Caenorhabditis elegans: one gene and its partner. The protein of the gene in region 1 interacts with the protein of each later gene in a pairwise test. Each region holds a gene or a part of one and is shown in the gene's direction. Other genes may lie near its edges. The genes, in order: kynu-1 and C54D10.3.

Region 1 (5,239 bases):
CCGAATTAGTTTTAATGGACTTTTAACTAAACTGGTTGCGCCATTGGATGGGGACGGGGTAATTGAAAAAATACCGAAAAATCCTATGGAAAAAAAATATTTCAGCAGGACAACAGCTCGTCTGTAATGAAACTTCTGCAAAAGCTGACAACAAATCTTGAATCAAGCAAAAGCATACATGTACTGAATAGCTTGCTCGATTTCTACTTCTCAGCTGCACTGAAGGTGAGTTTAAGATTCAAAATCTGCAAACTTAACATATATTTTTCTAGATGGTAGAAAACGACGAACAACCCTTGGTCAAATATGTTCCAGCATTTTCCAATTCCTTCCCAATTCTCACATCAACTGCTTTCGATAGCCCACTCTTCAATTCCTTGTATTCCTCCGATATTCACCAGTTTGCCGTTTACGTTTTCAATTCCTAGCCAAAACTGAACTAGCTTTACTATATTTTTTGACCGGACTGATGTTTTTGTCTATAAAACCGTTGCAAAATGTGAATTTAACTATTTCACAAATATTTTTTCTTTGACTAAAGTTACATTTTAACTAGCTTTTACGAGTTTTTCCAAAAATTTGATTCATTTAAAAAATTAATTGCTACTATTACCATTGAAGTAAAATCATTGTATCTTGTTTTTCTATAACCAAATAATGAAAATTTGAAGCTTTGTAAAGATAGAAAAATCTCATGACTCAGTAGAAGGTGCTAGAAATAATATTAGAATGCAAAACATCCACGAGTTCAGTGATTTTCCAAAAATTTAAATAAGTAACTAATAATGGTTTTGGATTTGGCATACGAGAACCACTTTGCCTACAATTTTATTTTTGATATCTTAAAAATGAGAGCAAAATAGCAACAAAAAAATCGACCGCCCACTTGCTAGAGGGCAAGGATTGGGACCAAAAATGATATTGGACTAAAGAAAGCAAAACAGTTATATTTTGTGAGTTCACAAACTATAGTTAAACTCATATAGCATGAAAAAAGCTAATACAATATGTTTTGTATACAAAAAACGTTTGAAGTAAGGAAGTAGCGTAATTTTTGGTCTCCAAAAAAATCCAAAATAAAACTAAACAATTAATTTTTCGTATCAACAAAAAAAACAAACCAAAAAAAATCAAAAAAAAACCAAAAGGAACAAAAAAGTACCAGCCTGTGTAGGATCCTCTGCGATTTATTGAAATTTCGCAGGAAATTTTTTTTTTTTTTTGAAAAATGTCAAAATGATTAACACTAAAATTAAATCTCACTGCGTTTTGTATTTTGCCAGTGAATAATTTACTTTTTAATATTATTATCATGTTTTCACTATTCATATTGGTAATACTTTTATGCTCGATTCGGAGCTATTGAACATTGAATAAGCTTGAAACTCTTAAATATGTTCAATTACACTTTTTTGTACATTATGTCGGTTTTGTATCTTATTTTGACTTTTTTTTCAAGGTTTTTTCCAAGTTTTTGATACCACGCGTGGTATGAGCTTTTATCTAAGCAACCGATGAAGCGGTGTTCAGAAAACGACATAGATTATGAATTAGGAGCACTGCTTTACTAAACTTCAAATTTGTGTTGTCGATTTCAAAATTTGAAAGATACCCATCAGATATCTTTGAAGAAATTATTGTTTTTGTTTCAGAAAACTTCATTGTAATATGTTGTTACATGTTTATTTTTGATAATAACCAAAGTATTGATCACCAGAACTGTACACCAAGCAGATGCAAAGATGGTGACCTTGAGAGATAAATATCTTTTTATTTTTTATATCTATTAATCGATCAGACAAGTCACTTTTGTCTGTACTTATGAACGCAATCAGTATATGATTTTCAACGAAACACCCATATCTTATCGCGCTTGGTCTTGTCTATTTTGTGTATCTCTAGCGAACAGAAAAAAGAAGTCGAAAACGATAAAATTTCGCCCGACGACCCAACTCCCTTTTATTTAACGGCGGAGTGTATTGCGTATATTGTGTAGGATGCAGCTGTTGTTTGTCTCAAAGTTTTCCGATTTCTTATTTTTGTTTAGAAATTTGTTTTTTTTTTGAAGATTCTAACATTTTCCTTTTTGAAGATCATGTCGGACGCCCCACCGCAGCCTGAAAATGAGCAAGAATGCATGTGCACTCAAGATAAAGTTCTTCAGTTTTTAAACAAAATGGCTGATGTAAGATTATTTTTTGTTGAAATTTGTTAGCTCTAAAAATAAGTTTAGGAAAGTGGAATCAAAGATTTGACGGACCCGGCTCTTGCAGAATTTCTTTCCGATAGTGATGCGCTGAAAGAAATTAGAGACTTGTTCCATTATCCGAAAGCCGGAACTCTTCCAGATGGTAAGTTCTAGAGAAAATTCTTTTCAAAAAACTTCAGAATAACCAGTTTCGCCATGTTGTAAATTTCCACATTCGCCAATTTTGCCATGAGTTGGTGTTAAAATAAAGAAACACAATTTATTAATATGAAATTATCAATTATTATAGCTGACAAGTTTAAATGTTAAGTACGGTTTGTGGGGAAATAACTAAGGTGCAAAAATCATAATAATTTTTAACTTCGGAATTTGTTTATTTTAAATCAAAAATGGTGAAAACTGAGTTTTGAAGAAATCTAAAGCACTCTCAAATGTTTAAACCCCTACAAAGTTAAAATATAAACATTTTAAACATAATTAAAATATAAAACTGGGAGGAATTTTTTTTAAATCGGCAACTTTTGAAAAATTGAGAACACTAAGTTTTCACCGTTTTTTGGCTGGAATAGAAACCTTTCCACTTGTGAATAACTTTAAGATCGAATGTTTCAGCTGATCCAAGCCTTGTTGATCCAGAGAGTGATAGCATTTATCTATGCGGAAACTCACTCGGATTGATGCCAAAAGCAACCGGCGAAGTCATGAAAGATCATTTGGACAAATGGGCCAAAATGTTGGTTTTTTAATTTTGCACTTCCCACAACAGTACACATTTCAGGGGAGTATTCGGGCATATGTCTGGAGAAGTTCCATGGGCTCATTGTGATGAGTACTGCTTAGAAGGTGTGGGACGTCTTGTTGGTGCCAAGAAAGAGGAAGTTTCCGTGTGCAATAGTTTAACTGTTAATATCCACGTGCTCTTGGTAAATGTGAAAACTATTGGTGTTAATGCTAACCTGACTAATTCAGACTTCCTTCTACAAACCCACGGAGACTCGTCATAAAATCCTTCTCGAATCCAAAGCATTCCCATCCGATCATTATGCAATTGAATCTCAGATTCGTTTGAAGGGAAGAACTGTTCAGGACAGTATGGTTTGTCTTGAACCACGAGAGGGAGAGGAAACTCTTCGCACAGAAGACATCCTTGATTATATTGAGAAAAATGGAGATGAGATTGCAATCGTGTTTTTCTCGGGAATCCAGTACTATACCGGACAGCTTTTTGACATGAGGGCTATTACTGAAGCGGGACATCGAAAGGTAATATTTAATGAAATTTTCTGTAAAACTAACGCTTTTATATACTTTATATTGTAACTTGTTGCATCCGTGATTCTAATTTTTCAGGGATGCTTTGTTGGCTTCGATTTGGCCCATGCTTTCGCAAACGTTCCCCTTCATCTTCACTGGTGGGATGTTGACTTTGCCTGTTGGTGCTCGTATAAGTACGGATGTACAGGAGCTGGATCAATTGGTGGTCTTTTTGTCCATGAAAGATTTTTGAATGACCAACGGGAGCGTATGTTGGGATGGTGGAGTCATAAAATGTCATCGAGATTTGTCATGGACAATGGTAAGATTTTTTTCAATCGTCTATATATTTTTCTATAAATTTCATTTGTGTTCTAGTTCTCGACTTGGACGAGGGAGCTGCTGGTTACAGAATCAGTAACCCTCCAATTCATACCGTCGCTGCTATGCTGGGAAGTTTGAAGGTTGGTTTATTTTTTGATTGTTAATCTTTATGCATTTCTAATTTTTCAGGTTTTCGATCAAGTCTCACTTGAAAACCTTCGTAGTCGTTCATGCTATTTGACCGGGTACCTGGAGTACTTAGTGAAAACTTTGTTCGGTGAAAACTCTGAGCAAAGAACTACTAAGCTCTCAATTTCTATCATCACTCCAGAAGAGTTCCATCAGCGTGGTTGCCAACTTTCTCTGAAATTCTCTTCTCCAATCGACATTATTTATCCTGAGCTTGTTAAACGCGGATGTGCGGTAAGCTTATCATATGTTCGATGAAATAGCCAAACTTTGCTATAATATTATGGCGTTTTTACAAGTATTCCTAAATTGCGATAAACGCTTTCAGGTTGACAAAAGATACCCGAATGTAATCCGTGTCGCTCCAGTTCATCTTTACAATAACTACGTGGATATTCGCAGATTCATTTCCGTGCTCCAAGAAGTTGCTCATATTGTCGAAAGCGAATAATTCAATTGGCTCGCAATGTAGTAGAATAATGTTGAACGTATTGTATGAGTTTTATATGAAAAAAATGATCTGAATGTGATTTAATCATTTTGAAACGCAAACGCAGTACAAACACGCAAGTTAGATGACTGCAATTTACATGTTAAGTGATTTCGGATTTGCTCAAAATGGAGAGACAAAATATTATTTCATACATAATCTAGTGACATTAATTCACAAAATGCGTTTGATTGTGTATAACAAAGAAAATATTTTGAAAATAGTTTTAAAACAAAACACCTTGTTAATTTTGAATCAAACAGAGATGTGCGACACATTGGGGAAATTTATAAAATCTATTTTTCTCGTCATTGTGGCAGAATTATTTTTGAAATTTATGTAGAAATATAGACTATTTGTCCTCACTGAAAAAATGTTAAATTGAAACTGAAATTTCTGAAAATTGTTCCAAACCCGTCTCAAATATGAATGCACTGCACCAAGCGGCACATTCTCACGGCACACTGTCACAATGTGGCAGTTTTTTTACAACTTCTCAAATATTTTATTTACAAACGAAGTGATTTTGGAAAGTACATATATTTTCCTATATTTCAAAAAAAAATCTCCAGAAAATAAGAAAATTATGTAAATGTGCAGAAAAAAATTGAAAAGGACGCGAATCCCTGACGTCAATCTTTTCATTTCAGAAAAAGATAAAAACAAAGTCAATATAATATATGTTTTAATCCCCTACTACGTTTTTTTGTAAAATATTGATATATTTCATATCTCCACTTGTTTTGAAAACGATCAGGTCAGTTTACGTAAGC
Region 2 (3,185 bases), on another chromosome or scaffold:
GGTATAATAAAAATCATTATCAGAAGTTTTGTATCGAAGAAGAACACTGAAAACAAAAATATAGAAACAAGTTAATACGAGAATGTCTCACTTGAATAAATGATTATCAGCTAATCTGGTAATAGCAACAGATTGTGCTTCTTTTTCTTTTGGTAAAGACTGGAAAATTATAAAATTAACAGTTTTTAAATATTTGATTCCTACCGAAATATTAAAATGCTCGCGAAGTCGCACTTCAATAAGATCTGTATCAGCAATATGCTCCCCATTTAATTCAATAAATGGTAATGTTCCGTTTCTCGACCAAATAAGTTTCTCATCACATATCTGTTAAAAATGCATAATATTCAGAATTAAATGAGAATTCTCACCTCATATGGTACCTTGTATGCTCTACATAAAACCTCAACTTTCATGCAAAATGGTGATAGATTCGGGCATTTCTTGGTTCTTTTGAATTGATACAAGTAAACAGTTCCCCTGTTGTAATCTTTTTTATAAGGTTCTGGTTTTGCACGAATAGATGGTTTCTTGAAAAACTTTTTATAAATAATAATTCCTATCACAGATAAGATGAACACAACTTTGATTGCACAGGAACTGATCATCTGAAAAAGTACTTGTGTTAAGTTTTTCATTTGAAAATTTAAAAAGAAATTGCATCAAATAGAGAAAATCCAGAATGAAAATTAAAATTGCACTATTCAGATTGCCCGTTGATTAATTGAAAAAAAACTATAAATAATAATGAACATGTTTGTCCCAAAACGAACTTTATGAAATCATTTTAATTTTAAATGTTCAAAAACGAGTTTTGTTGCTCTAATCATTGATATCTCTTTTATTTTTGTTTAGATAAAAAATATTGAAACATTGATAAAACATCACAGATTGCTCTAATGGATTAATTTTTATACAGTTTAGAATTTTAGAGAAATGATGCCACAAAGCATTTAAAGTGTTTTGTAAATAATTCTTGAAGTTATTACCCAAAAACATCTCTAAAAAATGATGATTTTTAATATTTACAGGGGAAAAAAATCAGAAAACAGGCTGTAATAAAATTTATTTAGGAATATTCGGAAAGCGTATTTCGAATGAAATTTGAGTACTCTCATCGAATTAAATAAACATGTTTATTTTTTCTGTTCTATTTTATAGTGGAACACTTTTGTTTACAAGTTGATGCAAGAACTGTCTAACGGATCAGAGACTACTCTTTTTAACAACAAAAACATCTTGTGGAAACCAATTTCAATGTTCACAGCCATCTCACATTCACGTGCAAGAAAGTAGAAATATGGAACTCGAACGTATTGCTTGTTGCTGCCTTCCGGTTATATACAACAATCAGACTCTTCTACATGGTCCGTCGACTTTCCAGCTGCCCGTTATGAATAACTCTGAGAACTATGTAGGACTCTGCTCAGGCAATGCCGAGACTATCATAGGTGACTGTACAATTGGGTATAAGATTCTATCTATGTATTAATTAGCATTCCATTTTACTGTTATAATGCAGTCAACAAAATTTACTGTTCACAATTTGAGTTCCACGGATGAAAGATTAGCACCACAACAATTGAATTGCAATACTTATGAATAATTCATAAAATTCAAAACCCACACAGCAATTTTTTATTTTAGGAGAATCTCATCTTAATCAAATGCAAAATAAAAGTTTGTTTGCTCAACTGGGAATAATTTATATTTAGGCATATTGTTGAACTTTTCGTTGACTATAAAAGAAGCCATATCTAATGGATTTTACAGTCAGTTTCAAAACCTTATAATATTTTATCTAAACCTTTCCTATTTTCAGGTAACAAAAAATGCTGTTCATCATTTTGGTTTCTACATTGGTAGCTTCTGCTTCCGCCCAAACATGTGCCAACGACCAAGGACGTACGCTAAAGAATTGAGGGTAAAATTTTCATGAAAATAAAATAAATTTCAGCATGTCTCAAAATGACTGTCAACACTATGGACATCTACATCTGTCCAGAAGGAATGGCCTGTTTGACAAACTCCACTTGTTGTGAATATGCTGATATTCAAGTGTCTACTACGACCACCACAACAGCTGCATCCACCTCTAGTAAGACATAAGAGACCTATTGAAACATCAGTTTATTCTTAATCATTCAGCTTGTGTCGACAAAGTCAATCCGTCGACAGGAGTATCTGATTGCCCAAAGAGTGCTTACCTGTGCAATGATTCAACCTATTACACATTGATGACTGAGGTAATAAAATTGAGTGAAGACTTCTAATGATACATTGTACATTTTCAGCAATGCCCAAAAACGTGCAACAGATGCAGTGGTGGAAACAATAATAATAACAACAACAACAACGGTGGATCATCTTCAAGTTTGTGCAAATTCTTAATATTTAAAAAGCAATGGAAGATATAAATGTTACAGGCTGTGTCGACAAAGTGAACCCATCAACCGGAGTTTCTGAATGTGCAGCTAAAGCCTACTTGTGTACCAACTCGATCTACTTGTCTTTGATGAAAGATCAATGCCCCAAGACTTGTGGATTCTGTTAGGATACCGTCATGTTACGGTTCCAGATGAACAGCATAATAAATCAATAAATCATTCGAAGTTTCACAAATATTCATCGATAAATGAAGATTTAGTAGTCAACATTTATTCCTGTTTTCTTTCTGATTTTGACTTTTTTTCTGACTTGAAACTTTTGTTCGAAGCCTGAAATAGAATTTTCATTGAACACCTTTAATGTTAAAAGAGCTTATATTCACTGGAGACACTGGACTTGGGTTCTTCTCTTCAATCTTTTTCGTTTCTTTTGCTGTTTTCCTCATCGCCCACATTCGATGATCATTGACATGGATCTCTAAGGAATGCCTCCAATCACGGATATACTTGGATCTAGCAAGCCGTCTATCCATCTGTAATTACAGTTATGAATAAATAAATTATTGAAATTTAGATGGTTGCCTCAAATTGTGAATAGATAAATGGAGAAATAACGGCAAATATAATAGACAAAACTGTCCCAATACACGAATAGAGCAAGATTCTGACTGTGTATAGTGTTTTCAAGCGTTCTTCACAACCTCTAGAGTGAGTTTTTCCACATGTGGAATTTTTGAAAAGTGAGTTATGAGGGCACCCAATATTCAGCGTCGATGTAAACGGTATTTTGTCTTCTGA

What was found.
Region 2: the proteins of kynu-1 (region 1) and C54D10.3 interact in a two-hybrid assay, tested with the Caenorhabditis elegans proteins (one large-scale study listed by BioGRID).

What each region holds. Positions count from the first base shown.
Region 1 is NC_003284.9:6,106,192-6,111,430, reverse strand, and holds kynu-1 (Kynureninase), read left to right. Parts: upstream 1-2,092; 5' UTR 2,093-2,095; coding exon 2,096-2,185; intron 2,186-2,233; coding exon 2,234-2,351; intron 2,352-2,821; coding exon 2,822-2,942; intron 2,943-2,987; coding exon 2,988-3,132; intron 3,133-3,178; coding exon 3,179-3,472; intron 3,473-3,559; coding exon 3,560-3,785; intron 3,786-3,841; coding exon 3,842-3,927; intron 3,928-3,976; coding exon 3,977-4,210; intron 4,211-4,304; coding exon 4,305-4,427; 3' UTR 4,428-4,511; downstream 4,512-5,239. Other genes in the region: prx-3 (Peroxisomal biogenesis factor 3), read left to right, coding at 1-58, 106-225, 273-428. UniProt on the Caenorhabditis elegans protein: Catalyzes the cleavage of L-kynurenine (L-Kyn) and L-3-hydroxykynurenine (L-3OHKyn) into anthranilic acid (AA) and 3-hydroxyanthranilic acid (3-OHAA), respectively.
Region 2 is NC_003283.11:12,416,770-12,419,954, forward strand, and holds C54D10.3 (ShKT domain-containing protein), read left to right. Parts: upstream 1-1,822; 5' UTR 1,823-1,832; coding exon 1,833-1,905; intron 1,906-1,957; coding exon 1,958-2,098; intron 2,099-2,148; coding exon 2,149-2,246; intron 2,247-2,294; coding exon 2,295-2,373; intron 2,374-2,426; coding exon 2,427-2,554; 3' UTR 2,555-2,659; downstream 2,660-3,185. Other genes in the region: cdr-3 (CaDmium Responsive), read right to left, coding at 1-46, 92-159, 205-327, 372-608; C54D10.4 (RDS/peripherin-like protein xRDS35), read right to left, coding at 2,732-2,920, 2,970-3,185.